Macaca mulatta: one gene and its partners. The protein of the gene in region 4 interacts with the protein of the main gene of each other region in a biochemical or structural test. Links are inferred from orthologs where the notes say so. Each region holds a gene or a part of one and is shown on either strand. Other genes may lie near its edges.

Region 1 (4,097 bases), on a different chromosome or scaffold from region 4:
TCGGGCTGCGCTGACCTGGGGGCCTGTCATAAACCAGGCCAAGACTCAAATTGGCAGGTATGGGGGAGTCAGGGTGAAAATATTTGGGAGCTATAGGCACAGAGACAGGAAGCCGTGCACTGCATGAGACCTCCAGGAAGAAGCGGGAGATTTCACCAGATGAGGCTCTGGAACTTTACAGCGTGGACACCAGACTCAAGAGGAAACACGCTGTCTTCTAGCACCTTCCTGTAGTTGCTCATGCCTTCTGTCTGTACGAGTCTTTCCCAGCCCACAAGGCCCAATTCACTTCTCCCCAGACATGGCAAGCAAATACAGAACACCTGCTTAAAAGAGAAAGGCTGGGCTCAGTTCCTGGTTCTACTTCAAGTTTTTTTTTTTGAGACAGAGTCTCCCTCTGTCGCCCAGGCTGGAGTGCAGTGGCACAATCTGGGCTCACTGCAGCCTCCACCTCCTGGGTTCTAGTGATTCTCCTGCCTCAGCCTCCTGAGTAGCTGGGACTACAGGTGTGTGCCACCATGCCTGGTTAATTTTTTTGTATTTTTAGTAAACACAGACTTTCACCATGTTGGCCAGGCTGGTCTCGAACTCCTGACCTCAAGTGATCCGCCTGCCTCAGCCTCTCAAAAAGTGCTGGGATTACAGGTGTGAGCCACTGCACCCAACCTACTTCAAGTTCTTTAACCTTAATTTCTTTCCTTAAAAAGGCCTAAGAAATTCAGAATATTTTACTGATTTTTAAAAAAGAATTTAATGGGCTGGGCATGGTGGCTCATGCCTGTAATCCAAGCACTTTGAGAGGCCGAGGTGGGTGGATCACCTGAGGTCGGGAGTTCAAGACCAGCCTGACCGACATGGAGAAACCCCGTCTCTACTAAAAACATAAAATTAGATGGCGTGGTGGTACACGCCTGTAGTCCCAGCTACTCGGGAGGCTGAGGCAGGAGCATCGCTTGAACTCAGGAGGCGGTGGTTGCAGTGAGCCAAGATTGCGCCATTGCATTCCAGCCTGCGCAACAAGAGCGAAAATCCATCTCAAACAAAAAAGAAGAAAAGAAAGAAAAAGAATGTAACTCCCATCTAATCATGAGAAAATCTTCAGACAAATCTCAACTGAGGAACCTTCTATAAAACCCCTGACCAGGATGCGTCAAACAGTGATGATCATCGAAACAAGTCTGAGAAATTATCACCACCAAAACGTGCCTGAGGAGGCATGAAGATTGCTTGTCATGTGGGATCCTAGAACAGAACAGCAGGTAAAAGCTGAGGAAATCTCAGTGAAACATGAACCTTAGTAATAATGTATGGGTTACGGCTCATTAATTTTGATATATATACCACGCTTAGTGTATGATGCTAATAATAGAGGAAATAAGGTTAACAAAAGAAAAAAAAGTAATATAAAGTACTTAACACAACCACAGTAGTAAGTATAATTCTGTGCCCCTTTCTCAGAATACTGAGTATAAGGAGCAGTTAGGACTGGGCAAACCATCCTTGCCTCGAGAGCAGTCCTGGCCGACAGAAACAGAATGCCAGCAACATGTGAAAATTATAAATTTTCTAACGGCAACATTAAAAAGAAACAGGTGAATTTCGATCATACTTTTAATTCAATATGCTAAAAATACTATTTCAACACATAACCAATGTTAAAAACCTGCACTTTTTTTTTTTTCCTTTGAGACAGGCTCTGTTGCTTAGGCCAGAGTGAAGTGGCGGGATCTCGGCTCACACTGCAGCCTGGGACCCCTGGACTCAAGGGATCCTCCTGCCTCAGCCTCCCGAGTAGCTGGGACCACATGCGCGCGCCACCTCGCTCGGCTAACTTATTTTGTAATTTTTGTAGACATGGGGGTCTTCCTATGTTGCCCAGGCCGGTTTCAACTTCCTGGGCTCAAGCGATCCTCCGGCCTCGGCCTCCCAAACGCCCGGATTACAGGCGTGAGCTACTGCACCCGGCCCTGCTTAAGTTTATTTATTTTTGTTTGTTTGTTTTTGTTTTTTTGAGACGGAGTCTCACTCTGTCGCCCAGACTGGAGTGCAGTGGCGCGAACTCGGCTCACTGCAAGCTCCACCTCCCGGGTTCACGCCATTCTCCTGGCTCAGCCTCCCGAGTAGCTGGGACTACAGGCGCCGCCACCGCACCCGGCTAATTTTTTTGTATTTTAGTAGAGACGGGGTTTCACCGTGTTAGCCAGGATGGTCTCGACCTCCTGACCTCGTGATCCGCCTGTCTCGGCCTCCCAAAGTGCTGGGATTACAGGCGTGAGCCACTGCGCCCGGCCTGCTTAAGTTTAAAATTGACGTAAACTAAGCATTCCCTTCAGGAATCACACGGGCCATATTTCAAACGCTCATTAACCGCACGCGGCTGGCGGGCGCCCTCCGGCAAACGCCCCTGGAGGAGGCCCGGCTTCCACCCCAGCCTCGCCCCGGCCCGCGCTCCGGCGACGGCACCCAGGACGGACTCGCAGGGGCGGAGAGAAGGGCGACGATGAGGCGGAGCTCGGCCCACAGAAGCCGGCGGGAAGGGCCCGCCGCCCCCAGAACCCTCAGCGCAGAGCGGCCCCGGAAGGCGGTTCCTTCGCCGGGAGAAGCGGACGGCGACCCCAGATCCCGACTCGATCTCAACCTTGAACCTGGTCCCGATCCCGATCCCAACGGTAACACCGGCCCTGACCCCCATCCCGACCCCAGGCCCGACCAGCCCCGCGCGCACCTGTCCCAGTTGGGGTCCCAGACGCCGGGGCCCGGCCGCGCGCCCCCCGCCCAGGCCGGCGGCTCAGCCGGGCGTGGCTCCGCGTCCCCGCCCGCGCGCGGCTTCCCTACCGCCACGGCCGAGAAGAGCACGGCGGCCGAGCCCCCTGCCAGCCCGCAGGCCGCCAGCTGCAGCGCCTGCCGGAACGCCATGCCGCCCGCTCCCGCGCCGGCCCGCGCAGGCGCCCACGGCCCCGACGGCGCTCCGCGAGGGACACGCTTCCGCGGGAGGCCGCTTCCGGGAAGCGGGGACGGAAGTCCCGCCTCCTGGGGCGCGGCGGGGCGCTGGGCAGCCTTCAGCGAAGGGGTGTTTTCGCGGAGCCGCCTGCCCCGTCACTCTTCCGTCCCGTCACTGGTGCTCGCGAACGCCGGTGCGCGCAGGTGCGGGCGGAGCTGTGGAGACGCCGGGAGGGCGGTGCGGTGCTTTCCAGAAGGTTCCGCACCGGAAGCGCCTGCCCAGGCTTGAGGCTGGGTGCGGGGCGGAGACTCGGAGGAGAACTTGGGGCCCTGGTTTAAGGGAGTTGGGAAACCGCGGCAGATTTGTTTAAAGGATATGTTTTTGGTGGCAGAACCCGAAATAAATTTTTCCGCCGGCGCCGTTCCTGCGTGTGCGGTTCAAGCGGCGTGAAGTGCGTTCAGGTTCGGCCCGGCTGTTACTTCTGGTCCCGGCCTCCTGCGGGACAGTCCCTCTGTGGCCGGCGCATTTCGCTTAGCAGGGTCCTCAGAGGAACCTCGTTAGAGCCTGGGTTTCCTTCCAGGGGGACCGGCGCTCCCTGTGTGGACCGACCCCACCGCTTACCCATTGCTGGACGCCTGTGTGGACCGACCCCACCGCTTACCCATTGCTGGACGCCTGTGTGGACCGACCCCACCGCTTACCCATTGCTGGACGCTTGCCCTGTCTCAAAAAAAATTAATAACATAAAAAAAGGAAAATTGGGCCAGGCGCAGTGGCTCACATCTGTAATCCCAGCACTTTGGGAGGCCAAGGTGGGCGGATCACCTGAGGTCAGGAGTTCGAGACCAGCCTGACCAACATGGTGAAACTCCCTCACTACTGAAAATACAAAAAAATTAGCCTGGCATGGTGGTGCGCGCTTGTATTCCCCGCTACTCAGGAAGCTGAGGTAGGATAATCGCTTGAACCCGGGAGGCAGAGGTTTTAGTGAGCCAGGATCGTGCCTCTGTACTCCAGTCTGGGTGACAGAGTGAGACTCTGAAAAAAACAAAACAAAAAAATTGGCCAGGTTCAGTGGTTCATGTTTGTAATCCCAGCACTTTGGGAAGCTGAGGCGGGTGGATCACCCGAGGTCAGGAATTTGAAACCAGCCTGG
Region 2 (4,246 bases), on a different chromosome or scaffold from region 4:
ACGTGTTACTTAGCAGACCGTGAAAGGGAGTCTCCTTTCCTTGGAGGAGTCAGGAAACGCTCCACTCCACCAGCTTCTTGTGGGAGGCTGGATATTATCCAGGCCTGCCCGCAGTCATCTGGAGGCCTAAACCCTCCCTGTGGTGCTGTGCTTCAATGGTCACGCTCCTTGTCCACTTTCATGCTCCTCCCGTACTCCCGGCTCCTCTTTGAAGTTCGTAGTAGATAGCGGTAGAAAAAATAGTGAAAGTCTTAAAGTCTTTGCTTTCTTATGAGTGTATAGAAGAAAACGCTGACGTATGCTGCCTTCTCTCTCTGCTTCGGCTACCTAAAGGGAAGGGCCCACTTTCCTATGATCACGTGACTTGCTTCACCTTATCAATCACCTAAGACGACTCACCCTCCTTACCCTGCCCCCTTGCCTTGTATCCAATAAATAACAGCGCAGCCAAGCATTTGGGGCCACTACGGTCTCTGCGTCTAGGTGGTAGTGGTCCCCAGGGCCCAGCTCTCTTTTCTTCTATCTGTCTTGTGTCTTCATTTCTACGATCTCTCGTCTCCGCACACAAGGAGAAAAACCCACAGGCCCTGTGGGGCTGGACCCTACAGATTTTTAACTTTATTTAATTTTAATTACTTCAAATTTACCTTTAACCACATGTGGCTAATGGCTACTACAAACCTGTAGTGCCACTAAGAAGGTGAGTCTCACTAGCAGAGCAGTTGGCCACATGCAAATAGATGGTGGTGTTTAGATTTCTCTCCACATTTGCTAAACACTCCAGGAGGTCAACACTGTGTAAATGCATTGGTTCATCTTTTTCTCCCTCAATAACCTGATAGAGTTAAATTACAATTTCCCAACTTTTTAGGGTAAGAAATTTCAGGGAAACTGAGTCACAGAAAGGGGTTTTTCTGTTTGTTTGGTTCATTGGTTGTGGTTTTTTACGACTTGCTAATACGTTACAAGGCCAGGATGAGCGCCCAGATCCAAAACCTGCCTGTTTTTCAGCCATACTAGGGTGACAAAATGGCAACCTGTGGTTCCCACAAGGTTCTTAAAAAATTTCTGAATTTGTTGCTAACATTTTAAGCCAGGGAATTTGACAGAGGAATCAAGATTTCCAGCTTCTTTTTTAAAATGTGAAAGCTGGCCCAGGTACAGTGGCTCACACCTGTAACCCCAACACTGAGGCAGGAGAATCACTTGAGGCCAGGAGTTTGAGACTCATCTGGACAACATAGCAAGGCTCCTATCTGTACAAAAAAAAATTTTTTTTAATTAGCCAGGCATGGTGGCATGTGCCTAAAGTCCCAGCTACTCTAAAGGCTGAGGCAGGAAGACCACTTAAGCCAGGAGGTCAAGGTCGCAGTGAGCCATGATCTCATCACTGCACTCCAGGCTGGGCAAGAGTGAGACCCTGCCTCAAATAAGTGAAAGATCTGGCAATACTGGGCCATTTGCTGGTATGGCCATACTCAGCTGGAGTCAGAGAGCAGTGCAAAGGTATCCACTATGATGCCCATCCATCAGGCCTCCACAGGCACTGAGTTTGTGATCCCCGTGAACATTCCTGAAGGCAAGGACTGTGGCCTCAAACCATTTCTGTTCCCCAGTAGGGGCCACACAGAAGTCACAAGACTTAATTATTAATGAATAATTACTCATATGATACTCAATTATTTAAAGACTCTTTCCCTGGGCCAGGGCACTGGCCAGGGATATCCAGCCAGCCACTCACACCTACTGCACCTCATGGTAGGAAATATCTCCTGAGTCCTCACAGGCCTGTGATGAGGGTCAAATGAGATAAAGATGAGAAAGTGCTTTTAAAGAAAACCTCAAATGTTTGACTTTATTATTCTCCATTACCTGCATCAGGTCCCCTCATTTCCAAAACCTCTTAACAAAACATAAACTGAACACAGAAGGGGCTGGCCAAAGAGGGCAGGGCACACTGAGCCCTCGCTCTGTGCCTGGCACTACATTGTTTCACATCCATTATTTCATTTAGTCCTTATGACAGTATTATTCTTATTCCCATTTCACAGCCCAGAAACCGTGGCTCAAAGAGGGTAAATGACTGGCCCAAGAACACGCTGCCAGGCAGTCTTGATGCCAAAGTGGGTTCCCAATATCTCTATACTAGAAAAGTAAAAACGCACACGCCTCCTTCCTCGCAAGTATTAAACTAAAATGGAGACCAACCATGAATAATTCCTGAGCAGACAAAACCGATCAGGTATCCTTAGTGACCTAAATCTTGCTTAAACTGCAAACAGCAAAATTTAACTTGGGTCATATCTGATAAATGCTTATGTTAGAGAGAAGTAAAACTTAACTCCAGCCAATGATAAGCAAGCATAAGCAATCAACTAACAGACCTTTAAAAAAAAAAAAAGGGCAATTTTGTAACTGCAAACCAATCAAATAATTTCGTTATTTTGCTTCCACATTTTCCCAATAAATACTTGCCTCTGACCTTTTGTCATTGCAACACTAAACCTCTTTCAGTCTGGTGTTCTCCGATTCATGAACTGTTTCTAATTCAAAGTTTTCAAGATGGGTCTCACATTTTTCCTTTACACAAGACACACAAGCACTAACGGTGGACGCTGACTGAGTATGGCGTGGAATCGCTTTAGCGAACACCCGACTAAGAGGTGTTCGGGATTCTTAGTCTCCGCTGAGGGGTTCGAAGCCACAGGGAAAGCTAGGCTCCCGCACAATGGCTCCTCGAGGGGCGTGGGGACCCGGCCGTGCAGCGCGGGGCCAGGGGGCCAGGGGCGGGGGCGCACCTGGATGTCCTCGATCATGTGGGGCTTGAACAGCTCGCGGCTCAGCAGGGCGTCCCAGAGCTGATCCACCTGCAGCTCCTCCACCAGCCGCAGCCGGCACCGCCGCAGGAGCCGCCGGTCCGCTTCATCCATGGCGAAGAGCCTCAGTCTGCTTCCGGGCCTCGGCCGCCCGCCCCAGTCCCCAGGACCCGCCCCACTCCCCAGGGCCCGCCCCCGCGTCACTGCCCAGGGTCAGTCTTCGCTCCACCGCCTCAGGACGCATCTCCAATGCCTCACCCCGCCCCCAGGAGTCGCGCTTGCGTCACCTCCCCGCCCTCAGGACAACCCTCCGCGCCTCGCCCTGCCCCCAGGGTCAACTCTCGGGTAACCGCCCCGCCCCAGAACCCGCCCCCACGTCCCCGCACCGCCCCCGCGTCACCGCCCCGCCCCCAGGACGCATCTGCAAGGCCTCGCCCCGCCCCAAGGATTCGCTCTTGGGTCCCCGCCTCGCCGTCAGAACGCACCTCCGCGCCTCGCCCTGCCCCCAGGGTCAATTCTCGGGTCACCGCCCCGCCCCTGAACTTGCCCCCGCGTCACCGCCCAGTGCCCGGGACTCGTCTCTAAGGCCTCACCCCGCCCCCAGGTTCGCAATTGCGTCTCACCCCGCCCTCAGGACGCACCTCAGCGCCTCGCCCCGACCCCAGAATCCATCCCGCGCCACCGCCACGCCCCCACCCCGCCCCCAATGTCAATCTTGCGCCACCGCCCCGCCCCCAACGCCAAGCCTCGCGCCACTGCCCGGCCTCCAAGAGCCAACCCCCTCCCCTCGCTCCACCCTCAGAATCGTCCATGCGTCACCGCACCGCCTCGGACTCCAGCTCGCACCCTCGCCCCGCCCCCAAAGTCAATCCTCAGCCCCAGGATCCAATCTCCTGTCACCGCCCGGCCCCAAGGCGGTACCTCCGCACCTCGCCCGGCTCCCAGGGCCCAGCCCCGCCCCCGCGTCACCGCCCCCCTCCGGGCGCAGGTGCCCGTTTGCAATTGTGGCACCAGTTCCCAGTCCACCGAGGGCCCCTCGCCAGAATTCACTACGGCCCCGCTTTTACAGAGACTCGGAGAGAGTCGTCACACTTCCAGAAAGAGGGAAACCATGAGTGGAGCCACGGTCTGCCCCACCCCGTTCAACCTCCTCCGGGGCATGGATTCCCCTTAGCCTCCTCCTCCACCCCAAGAAAAACCATAAGCTCCCCTCACCGCCCCTGTGCCCAGATCGCAGTTGACTGTTCCAAACTCGAGTGTCTGATCCAACCAAGCCCACCTTACACAGTCTTCCGTTCCCTCTTCCCTCCCTCCCACCCTAACACCTCCCACACAGAAAAAAAACTGGCAGAAATCTAGTCCCTCTAAACTCCTGTCGTTTTGAACGGTTCATTTTCACATTTCAAAAATAATCGTTTCTGTTTACTGAG
Region 3 (4,269 bases), on a different chromosome or scaffold from region 4:
GAAAGAAGAAAGAAAAGAAAAGAGAATAAAAGAAAAGAGAAAAGAAAAGGTAAGGGATATATAGAAAGGCACTGAAGCAAATAAGAAGGAGTAAAGAACAGAAAGAAACCAGAGAAAAGCATATATTTGACAGAAAAGATGTGGTGTGAGAGTGTAGTGGGGCAGAAAATACCAGCAAATAGATAAAAATCTCCAAATATGCAGACTCTGACTCAGCCCTGAAATACTCACATTCGGTTCAATCTTAATCACCGCAAGATCCAATTTAAGGTCAATATCCTTGACAACGGCTTCATAACGGGCCCCATTCTGGAGCACCACCTCAATCCACTGCTGGTTCCTGACAACGTGGGCATTGGTAATAATGAGCCCATCCTCAGACACTATGAACCCAGAGCCACTGTACACAGGAACAGGCATCCTGCCGTGAAGTAACCTGTCTCCACAAGACAATAGTATAGACAGAGGGCAAGAAAGTTAGGGGATACAGCCATATCATCTGAGAGTCACGGGAACCTCACTCTTATTAAACATACCTCCATCACAGTTTTCTTTTCTTTATTTCTTTTTTCTTTTTTTGAGACAGAATCTCGTTCTGTTGCCCAGGCTGGAGTGCAGTGGCACAGTCTCGGCTCACTGCAACCACCTCCCGGGTTCAAGCAATTTTCCTGCCTCGGCCTCCCGAGTAGCTGAGACTACAGGCATGCACCACCATGCCTGACTAATTTTTGTATTTTTCATAGAGACAGGGTTTCACCATGTTGGCCAGGCTGGTCTCGAACGCCTGACCTCAGGTGATACACACGCCTCGGCCTTCCAAAGTGCTGGGATTACAGGCGTGAGCCACCATGCCCAGACTTCCATCACAGTTTTCTCAGACATTTCACTTTTCCCTGGCTATGCGTAAATTTTCTCCATGTATCAATGGACTTGGCACCCACAGGGCCCCAGCCATCTCTTGTGAGCATGGTTGAGAGCTGGCTCCAGCTCTCCTTTTCCAGGGACACTGCCTCTTCAGAGTTGGTTAGTGTAGCAGCCCATGGGTTCTCTGCTGCGAAAAGGCTGAACCCAATCCTAATACTAGAGGCAAAAGTAAGAGCCTCGTACCACAGTGTCAAGGACCCAGGCAGGAGAGAATCAAAGGGCTCTGATTCTGGCTTAGTTTCCACCACCAACTGGCCTCGTAACATAGGACAAATTAACCCTGCTCTCTGGGTCTGGATTTCCTTGCCTCCAAAGTGGGGGCTGAGCAAGATCACAACCAAAATGCCTACTAAGCTGGATGTGGTGGCTCACACCCGTAATCCCAGCACCTTGGGAGGCTAAGGTGGCAGATCGTTTGGGTCCAAGAGTTTGAGACCAGCCTGGGCAATATAAAAATACCTTGTCTCTCCAAAAAATACAAATATTAGCTGGGTGTGGTGGCACCTGCCTATAGTCCCAGTTACTCCAAAGGCTGAGGTGGGAGGATTACTTGAGCCTGGTAGATGGAGCTGCAGTGAGCCATGATCTGTCATTGCATTTCAGCCTTGGCGACAGAGCAAGACCTTGTCTCAAAAAAAGAAAAGAAAATGCCTACTAGCTCTTACATCTGACCTTAAATTTTGTCTGTGGCAGGACGGGGAAAAAGCACCAGCCACCTAAGTGGGCAGGGGGAGCTCGGATTTGGAAGTTATCCTTGTGCCTCTGCTCTTTGGTTAAATGACCTTGAACAGGTTATTCAACCTCTTTATGTCTCAGTTTCCTCACTGGTGTTTTAGGATTAAATGACGCTTGCGAAGGGTCTGGAGTAGGTAGGCACGCAGAAACCATTAGCTGGGACAGTGGAGGTCTTCCTCCTCCTCCTTTACCTGCCCCACAGCTGCATGTGAACCACCGATGGCGCCACCTTCTCCACCACCGCGGCGATGAAGTTGTAATTCCTCCTGAGCGGGCCTGCCCTTCTGCTCCCTATGAAGAAATACTGGGTCAAGAGTACGCCTCGAGCGAACCAGACCTGCTATCCTAGTTGGGAAAATGTTAAAGGCAAGTCAGTGTTCAAAAGGTGCATGGTGAGGGAGAATCCACATAGCAGAAGGTAAAGAGCCCCTGTTATGGAGGAAAGGAAATCAGGAACAGAGAGGGGTCGAATCCAGGAGGCAAATGACGCAGGAGGACCCCGCGCGAACTATGCGATCTCAGTGAGGTCTTGTTCCTTTACGCTCCTCCAGAGTTAGAAAGTGTCCCCAGGGTGCGCGCCCCCCGCGGCTCACCTGTATCCCCGCAGTCCCCCCACTGCACAGGCACGGCCGAGATATTGCCCAGGCGGCGCGCGGCCCGGTTTTCGGTCCGGAGCGCACACAGGCTAGGGTAGGTGCGCCTGTCGCTGCCGCACACGGCCACTCCCTTCGTCGGGCAACCGCAGGTGCTGGGGAGCCCGGGGCGCAGCGGCTTGAGGCACTGCAGCCCCGGGGCGCACGGCTGTCCCTGCGCCCCGCCGCAGACTTGACCCTCGGCCGCGGGGCAGACGCGGCAACAGCGGCACAGGTCGAGCACCGGCGTGGTCCCCAGCGAGCAGGTGGGCAGCGCGGGGCAGCGCGTGGGCTGGCAGACCGCGGGGCAGGCCAGCTGGGTATGTAGTCTCTCAGCCCCGGCCCAGAGGACCGGCACCAGGAGCAACAGCAGCCCTGGCAGGAGGCATCGTCCCAGCCCCGCGGGCCGCAGCTGAGGTCTAATCATCCTGCTCCTTCCTTCCTCGCTTCCACTCTTCAGTGACTTCACTCTGGACCTGCAAACGCTCCTAAATGAGAGACACTTTCTCCCGGCCATGGCGCCGCCTCCGCCGGCCCCCAAACTTTAAGGGGCAGAGCCTGGCATACCTCTCCACATACACACCCGTACATCCCCTACCACCCGCCCCTGTCCGCTCCCCGGAGCCAGGTTCTCCCCCAGGCAATGAGGGGAAGGTCTCTAGCCCTACCCGGAGGAGGAACCTACCTCCTGAAATCCCTAAAACAGACAATGGGGGCAGACTGATCGCGGTACTTATATGACAGTGCGAGCGGAGCAATGCCGAGGTTGTGAGTTCGATCCTCACCTGGAGCACTTTTAATATTTATATAGGTGGGTAGTCGTGGCCGAGTGGTTAAGGCGATGGACTTGAAATCCATTGGGGTTTCCCCGCGCAGGTTCGAATCCTGCCGACTACAGTTTTGGCCGGGCGCGGTGGCTCACGCCTGTAATCCCAGCACTTTGGGAGGCCGAGGCGGGCGGATCACAAGGTCAGGAGATCGAGACCACGGTGAAACCCCGTCTCTACTAAAAATACAAAAAATGAGCCGGGCGCAGTGGCGGGCGCCTGTAGTCCCAGCTACTCGGGAGGCTGGGGCAGGAGAATGGCGTGAACCCAGGAGGCGGAGCTTGCAGTGAGCCAGGATCGTGCCACTGCACTCCAGCTTGGGCGACAGAGCAAGACTCTGTCTCAAAAAAAAAAAAAGAAAGCTCACCCACCCGTGGTCAGAAGGTACTAGAAAAACACATGGCCATATTTCAGTATTTCACATGGTTTTATTACAAAACAAGCCACAAAACAGTTTTAGAAAAGTTTTGCTACATACCAATTAGGAGATCACATAAAATGAGAAGCGTAACAGTTTCCATGCACTCAGCCTAGTGCTTACTGCCAGTGCATTTCACAGCTGAAACATCACTGCTTTAAAACACAGAATCATGCTACCCCTTCATAAGCAGAGGGGGAGGAGGTCAAACAGTATGTTTTTGCCAAACATTGCTTTATCTGAACTCTATCTAGTATAAAGGACTGGCTGCCGCAGGCAATAACACAGAGAGGGAAAAGGAACAAAGGAAGAAAACGATGCTGGCAGACAAGATTTAACAAACCTGTCCACTTCCAACATGTCTAAAGTTTATAAACAAAGCTCACTTGGGGACACTCAATTTCCAAAATGCTGTGACCTCCACATATGTTATCTGATTTACGCTGAAAACAAACCTACTAAATTCTACCCCTCAACTACTGAACCTGCTATTTATTCATGGGGTCCTTTTAGCCCATATAAGAGTATATTTATACTCAGAAATAGAAAAGAAAAAAACTTTTGCTTCAAGTAGACTAAGAAGCTGGACCTTAAAACTACTTTCTTTCTCGTGGGAGCTGAGTATTCAACTCAGAAATAGATGTATAACTCCAGTATTCTGACCTGACACCAATCTCCATAATGCATGGCTCAATAACTTTATGATGTCTCACTTAACACTAAAGGCCAAATT
Region 4 (4,097 bases):
GTGTATATATTGTTCACTTGAGTGCTTCTAAATAAATATTTACTTTTCAAAAGAGTGAAATCTGAACTATTAGCATGGAAACAACCTCTGGGAAGACAAGATCTCCACTCAAAAGCTTCAAATTGAGATTCTCCTGCTCATGTTGAATGATGGTTTTATCTAATATTTTCTGAAATAGGGTGACTACTTGAACTACACAAAATTGTGAAATGAGAATATCTTTGATTTTATACTTTGTTTTTTCTTTTTTTGAGATGAAGTCTTACTCTGTCACCTAGGCTGGAGTGCAGTGGCACAATCTCGGCTCATTGCAACCTCTGCCTCCCAGGTTCAGGTGATTCTCGTCCCTTGGCCTCCCGAGTAGCTGGGATTACAGGCGTGTGCCACCATGCCTGGCTAATTTTTGCATTTTTTGGTAGAGATGGGGTTTCACCATGTTGGCCAGGCTGGTCTTGAACTCCTGACCTCAAGTGATCCACCCACCTTAGCCTCCCAAAGTGTTGGGATTACAGGCATGAGCCACTGTGCCTGACCACTTACATCTATTTTGATTGACTTGAAATAAAATTTAACACCCCAGGGAAGGCAATTCTCATGTGTTTTGAATTATACTGAGCATTAATTCTTCAGGATAATTATAGACTTGGAAATGTTTAATCCAGTCTCCTAGTCCATGCTGAAGCTCCTTTAAGTGATAGGAGGAACTCATAATCTACAAGGCAACCCAATCCATTTGTTGCTATATCAATTGTTATAAAGCTCATCCTTGGGTTAAAATTGGCTGTTTATAGTTGTATTTAATGACCTTAATTCTGCCCTCAAGCTATACAAAATGTGGATCTCTTTTCTACATGATAACCTTTTAGATATCAGTCTATCCTCCCTACCCTTCCCCTCACAATTTTTCCACCCTTTGCGATAAATATCCTTTGCTATTCTAACTATTTCTCATATGATATCATTTTTATCATCCCAATTGCTCCCTAAGGACATTAAACTTTGTTAATGTCCTTTCCAAAATGTATTTGGAACTGGAAATAATATCCCTTGGTAGCTGAATTGGATCTGGATGTTGCACATCTGGACACTAATGCAGCCTGAAGTTGCTGTAAGTTTTTTAGTCAACTTGTAATGTTGGCTCATGATGAATTTGTAATTAATTAAAATTCCAAGGTTTAATCTGGAGGATTGCCTTTATGTGATTTTTTCTTAAACCAAGTCTCCATTTTCTTTTAGTTATGCAACAGATTTTTTTTTTTTTTTTTTTTTTTGAGACGCTCGCTCTGTCACCCAGGCTGGGGTGCAGTGGCACGATCTCAGCTCACTGCAACCTCCACCTCCTGGGTTCAAGCAATTCTCCTGCCTCAGCCTCCCGAGTAGCTGCGATTACAGGAGTCTGCCACCACGCCTGGCTAATTTTCTTTGTTTCTTTTTTTTTTTTTTTAAAGTAGAGATGGGGTTTCTCCATGTTGGTCAGGCTGGTCTTGAACTTCTGACCTCAGGTGACCCACCCTCCTTGGCCTCACAAAGTCCCGGGATTATAGGCATGAGCCATTGCACCCGGCCCTTTTTTTTTTCTTTCTTTCTTTTTTTGAGATGGAGCCTCACTCTGTTGCCCAGGATGGAGTGCAGTGACATGATCTTGGCTCACTGCAACCTCCGCTGCCCGGGTTCAAGGGATTCTTCTGTCTCAGCCTCCCGAGTAGCTGGGATTACAGGTACCTGCCACCACGCCTGGCTAATTTTTGTATTTTTAGTAGAGATAGGGGTTTCACCATGTTGGCCAGGCTGGTCTCAAACTCCTGACCTCAAGTTATCCGGCTGCCTTGGCCTCCCAAAGTGCTGAGATTATAGGCATGAGTCACTGCACCCGGCCTATGCACCAGATATTTTTAAAAAACCAGATGTAAGACTTTACACTTACCCCTATTAAATGTTATCTCATTAGCCTATCAGGTAGCTTTGGTTTTTTACTTTTATTTTATTTATTTATTTATTTTTTTGAGACAAGAGTTTCGCTCTTGTTGCCCAGGCTGGAATGCAATGGTGCGATCTCCGCTCACTGCAACCTCCGCCTCCTGGGTTCAAGTGATTCTCCTGCCTCAGCCTCCCAAGTAGCTGGGATTACAGGCATGTGCCACCACGCCTGGCTAATTTTGTGTTTTTTAGTAGAGACGGTTTCACCATGTTGGTCTAGCTGGTCTCGAACTCCCGACCTCAGGTGATTTGCCCACCTTGGCTTCCCAAAGTGCTGGGATTACAGGCGTGAGCCACTATGACCGACTGGTTTTTTTCTTAAGACTAGTCAAGTGCAGAGTGAGAAGAGGGAAAAGAGTAGAACAAGGGGTTTGATCAGCCTTGGTTTCTTTGAATCTTGATTTTTGTCATTCGGTTTATTATGCTGATTCAACAGAGGGCCCTGAAGCTAATGTTGGAATGTTTTCAGACATCTAGGAAATGATAATTCATCAAAAGTCATGGAGACTATTCCAAAAGTTTTATGCAGATATAACTCAGCTGTTGAGGTATGAGTTAATACCACTATAAGTTGACATGGCCAGGAAAGACAAGTCCATTGCCAACTTGCTTTGTGTTGAACATTACTCCAAAAGAGATTAAATTCTAAGACATATTGTGTCAACATAAAGGCAAAAGAGCTGGCTAATTCTTCTCAAGAAATCAATGGCTCGACCTTTTGGCTCATGCCTGTAATCCCAGCATTTTGGGAGGCCGAGGTGGGGGATCACCTGAGGTCGGGAGTTCAAGACCAACCTGACCAACCTGGAGAAACCCCGTCTCTGCTAAAAAATACAAAATTAGCTGGGCATGGTGGTGCATGTCTGTAATCCCAGCTACTTGAGAGGTTGAGGCAGGAGAATCGCTTGAACCCAGGAGGCAGAGGTTGCAGTGAGCCAAGATCACGCCATTGCACTCCAGCCGGGGCAACAAGAGCAAAACTCCATCTCAAAAAAAAAAAAAAAATCAATTAATGCACATATAATATAGAGACAGAGTTCTTGTTACCATTATTTTGCCTTTGACAAGTTTATATTGAGCACATTATCAGGCAATGTGGGAGATTCTGGAGAACCAGGTTTGCCTCATAGCTAGGGTTACCATATGCTCTAGTTTGCCTGGGGCAACCCTGATTTATGCCTGTTGTCCCAGTGTGATTATTGCTAGTGTGATTTTTCACTTTGAGAAGTGTCCAGGTTTGGAAGATAAATTATCTTGCTATCCTTCTCATAACCTAATGGGTTCTCTTTAGTATTTTATCTGGGTTAAAATTACACAGCTGTAATTTGGCAGCTCTAATAAGACTGCAACAATACTTATCTTCCATTTGAACAGATTGTTACTTGACCAAGGGGAAGTTTTGTTTTTTTTTTTTTTTTTTTGAGGCGGAGTCTCGCTCTGCCGCCCAGGATGGAGTGCAGTGTTGCGATCTCGGCTCACTGCAAGCTCGGCCTCCTGGGTTCACGCCATTCTCCTGCCTCAGCCTCCCCAGCAGCTGGGACTACAGGCGCCCACAACCATGCCCGGCTAATTTTTTGTATTTTTAGGTGAGACGGGGTTTCACCCTGTTAGCCAGGATGGTCTCAATCTCCTGACCTCGTGATCCGCCCGCCTCGGCCTCCCAAAGTGCTGGGATTACAGGCATGAGCCACTGCGCCTGGCTACCAAGGGCAGTTAATAGCAAAAGTAACTGCAGGGCACATGTATGTCATGGGCAAAAAAAAAAAAAAAAAAAGCAATTAAGGTTTGCAGGTACTTAGAGTTTCTCCTGAGCCACTCTCTAGAGGGCAGTATTACATATATATCTGTAATTATCCAGTTACAACAAAAAAGGGGATCTGGTTCATGCATGAAAATCAGAAATATTTCATACTCTTAAAGAACACATTGGAACCAATATTATGATTAAAACATATTTTGCTAAGCAAAGAAATATTAAAATTAATTCATTAACATTCTGAACATTTTTTAATTTGTAAAAACTGAACTTTGATGCCTTGAATATATAATGATTCATTATAACAATTACGTACAGACTTTAATAATCTGCATATTTTATGCTTCTTTCATGTTTTTCCTAA

Evidence for each region. The genes of interacting proteins can lie anywhere in the genome.
Region 1: the proteins of XIAP (region 4) and PGAM5 form a complex in vitro, tested with the Homo sapiens proteins (2 studies listed by BioGRID, with this or other methods). The link is inferred for Macaca mulatta from reciprocal best matches to the Homo sapiens genes XIAP and PGAM5.
Region 2: the proteins of XIAP (region 4) and CASP9 form a complex in vitro, tested with the Homo sapiens proteins (12 studies listed by BioGRID and IntAct, with this or other methods). The link is inferred for Macaca mulatta from reciprocal best matches to the Homo sapiens genes XIAP and CASP9.
Region 3: the proteins of XIAP (region 4) and HTRA4 form a complex in vitro, tested with the Homo sapiens proteins (2 studies listed by BioGRID and IntAct, with this or other methods). The link is inferred for Macaca mulatta from reciprocal best matches to the Homo sapiens genes XIAP and HTRA4.

What each region holds. Positions count from the first base shown.
Region 1 is NC_133416.1:140,082,260-140,086,356, reverse strand, and holds the start of PGAM5 (serine/threonine-protein phosphatase PGAM5, mitochondrial), read right to left. Parts: upstream 2,952-4,097; 5' UTR 2,917-2,951; coding exon 2,726-2,916; intron 1-2,725. UniProt on the Homo sapiens protein: Mitochondrial serine/threonine phosphatase that dephosphorylates various substrates and thus plays a role in different biological processes including cellular senescence or mitophagy. Modulates cellular senescence by regulating mitochondrial dynamics.
Region 2 is NC_133406.1:225,517,050-225,521,295, reverse strand, and holds the start of CASP9 (caspase-9), read right to left. Parts: upstream 2,952-4,246; 5' UTR 2,931-2,951; coding exon 2,799-2,930; intron 1-2,798. UniProt on the Homo sapiens protein: Involved in the activation cascade of caspases responsible for apoptosis execution. Binding of caspase-9 to Apaf-1 leads to activation of the protease which then cleaves and activates effector caspases caspase-3 (CASP3) or caspase-7 (CASP7).
Region 3 is NC_133413.1:40,930,145-40,934,413, reverse strand, and holds the start of HTRA4 (serine protease HTRA4), read right to left. Parts: upstream 2,952-4,269; 5' UTR 2,809-2,951; coding exon 2,253-2,808; intron 1,951-2,252; coding exon 1,851-1,950; intron 437-1,850; coding exon 232-436; intron 1-231. UniProt on the Homo sapiens protein: Serine protease.
Region 4 is NC_133426.1:130,313,989-130,318,085, forward strand, and holds the start of XIAP (E3 ubiquitin-protein ligase XIAP), read left to right. Parts: upstream 1-1,241; 5' UTR 1,242-1,453; coding exon 1,454-1,718; intron 1,719-4,097.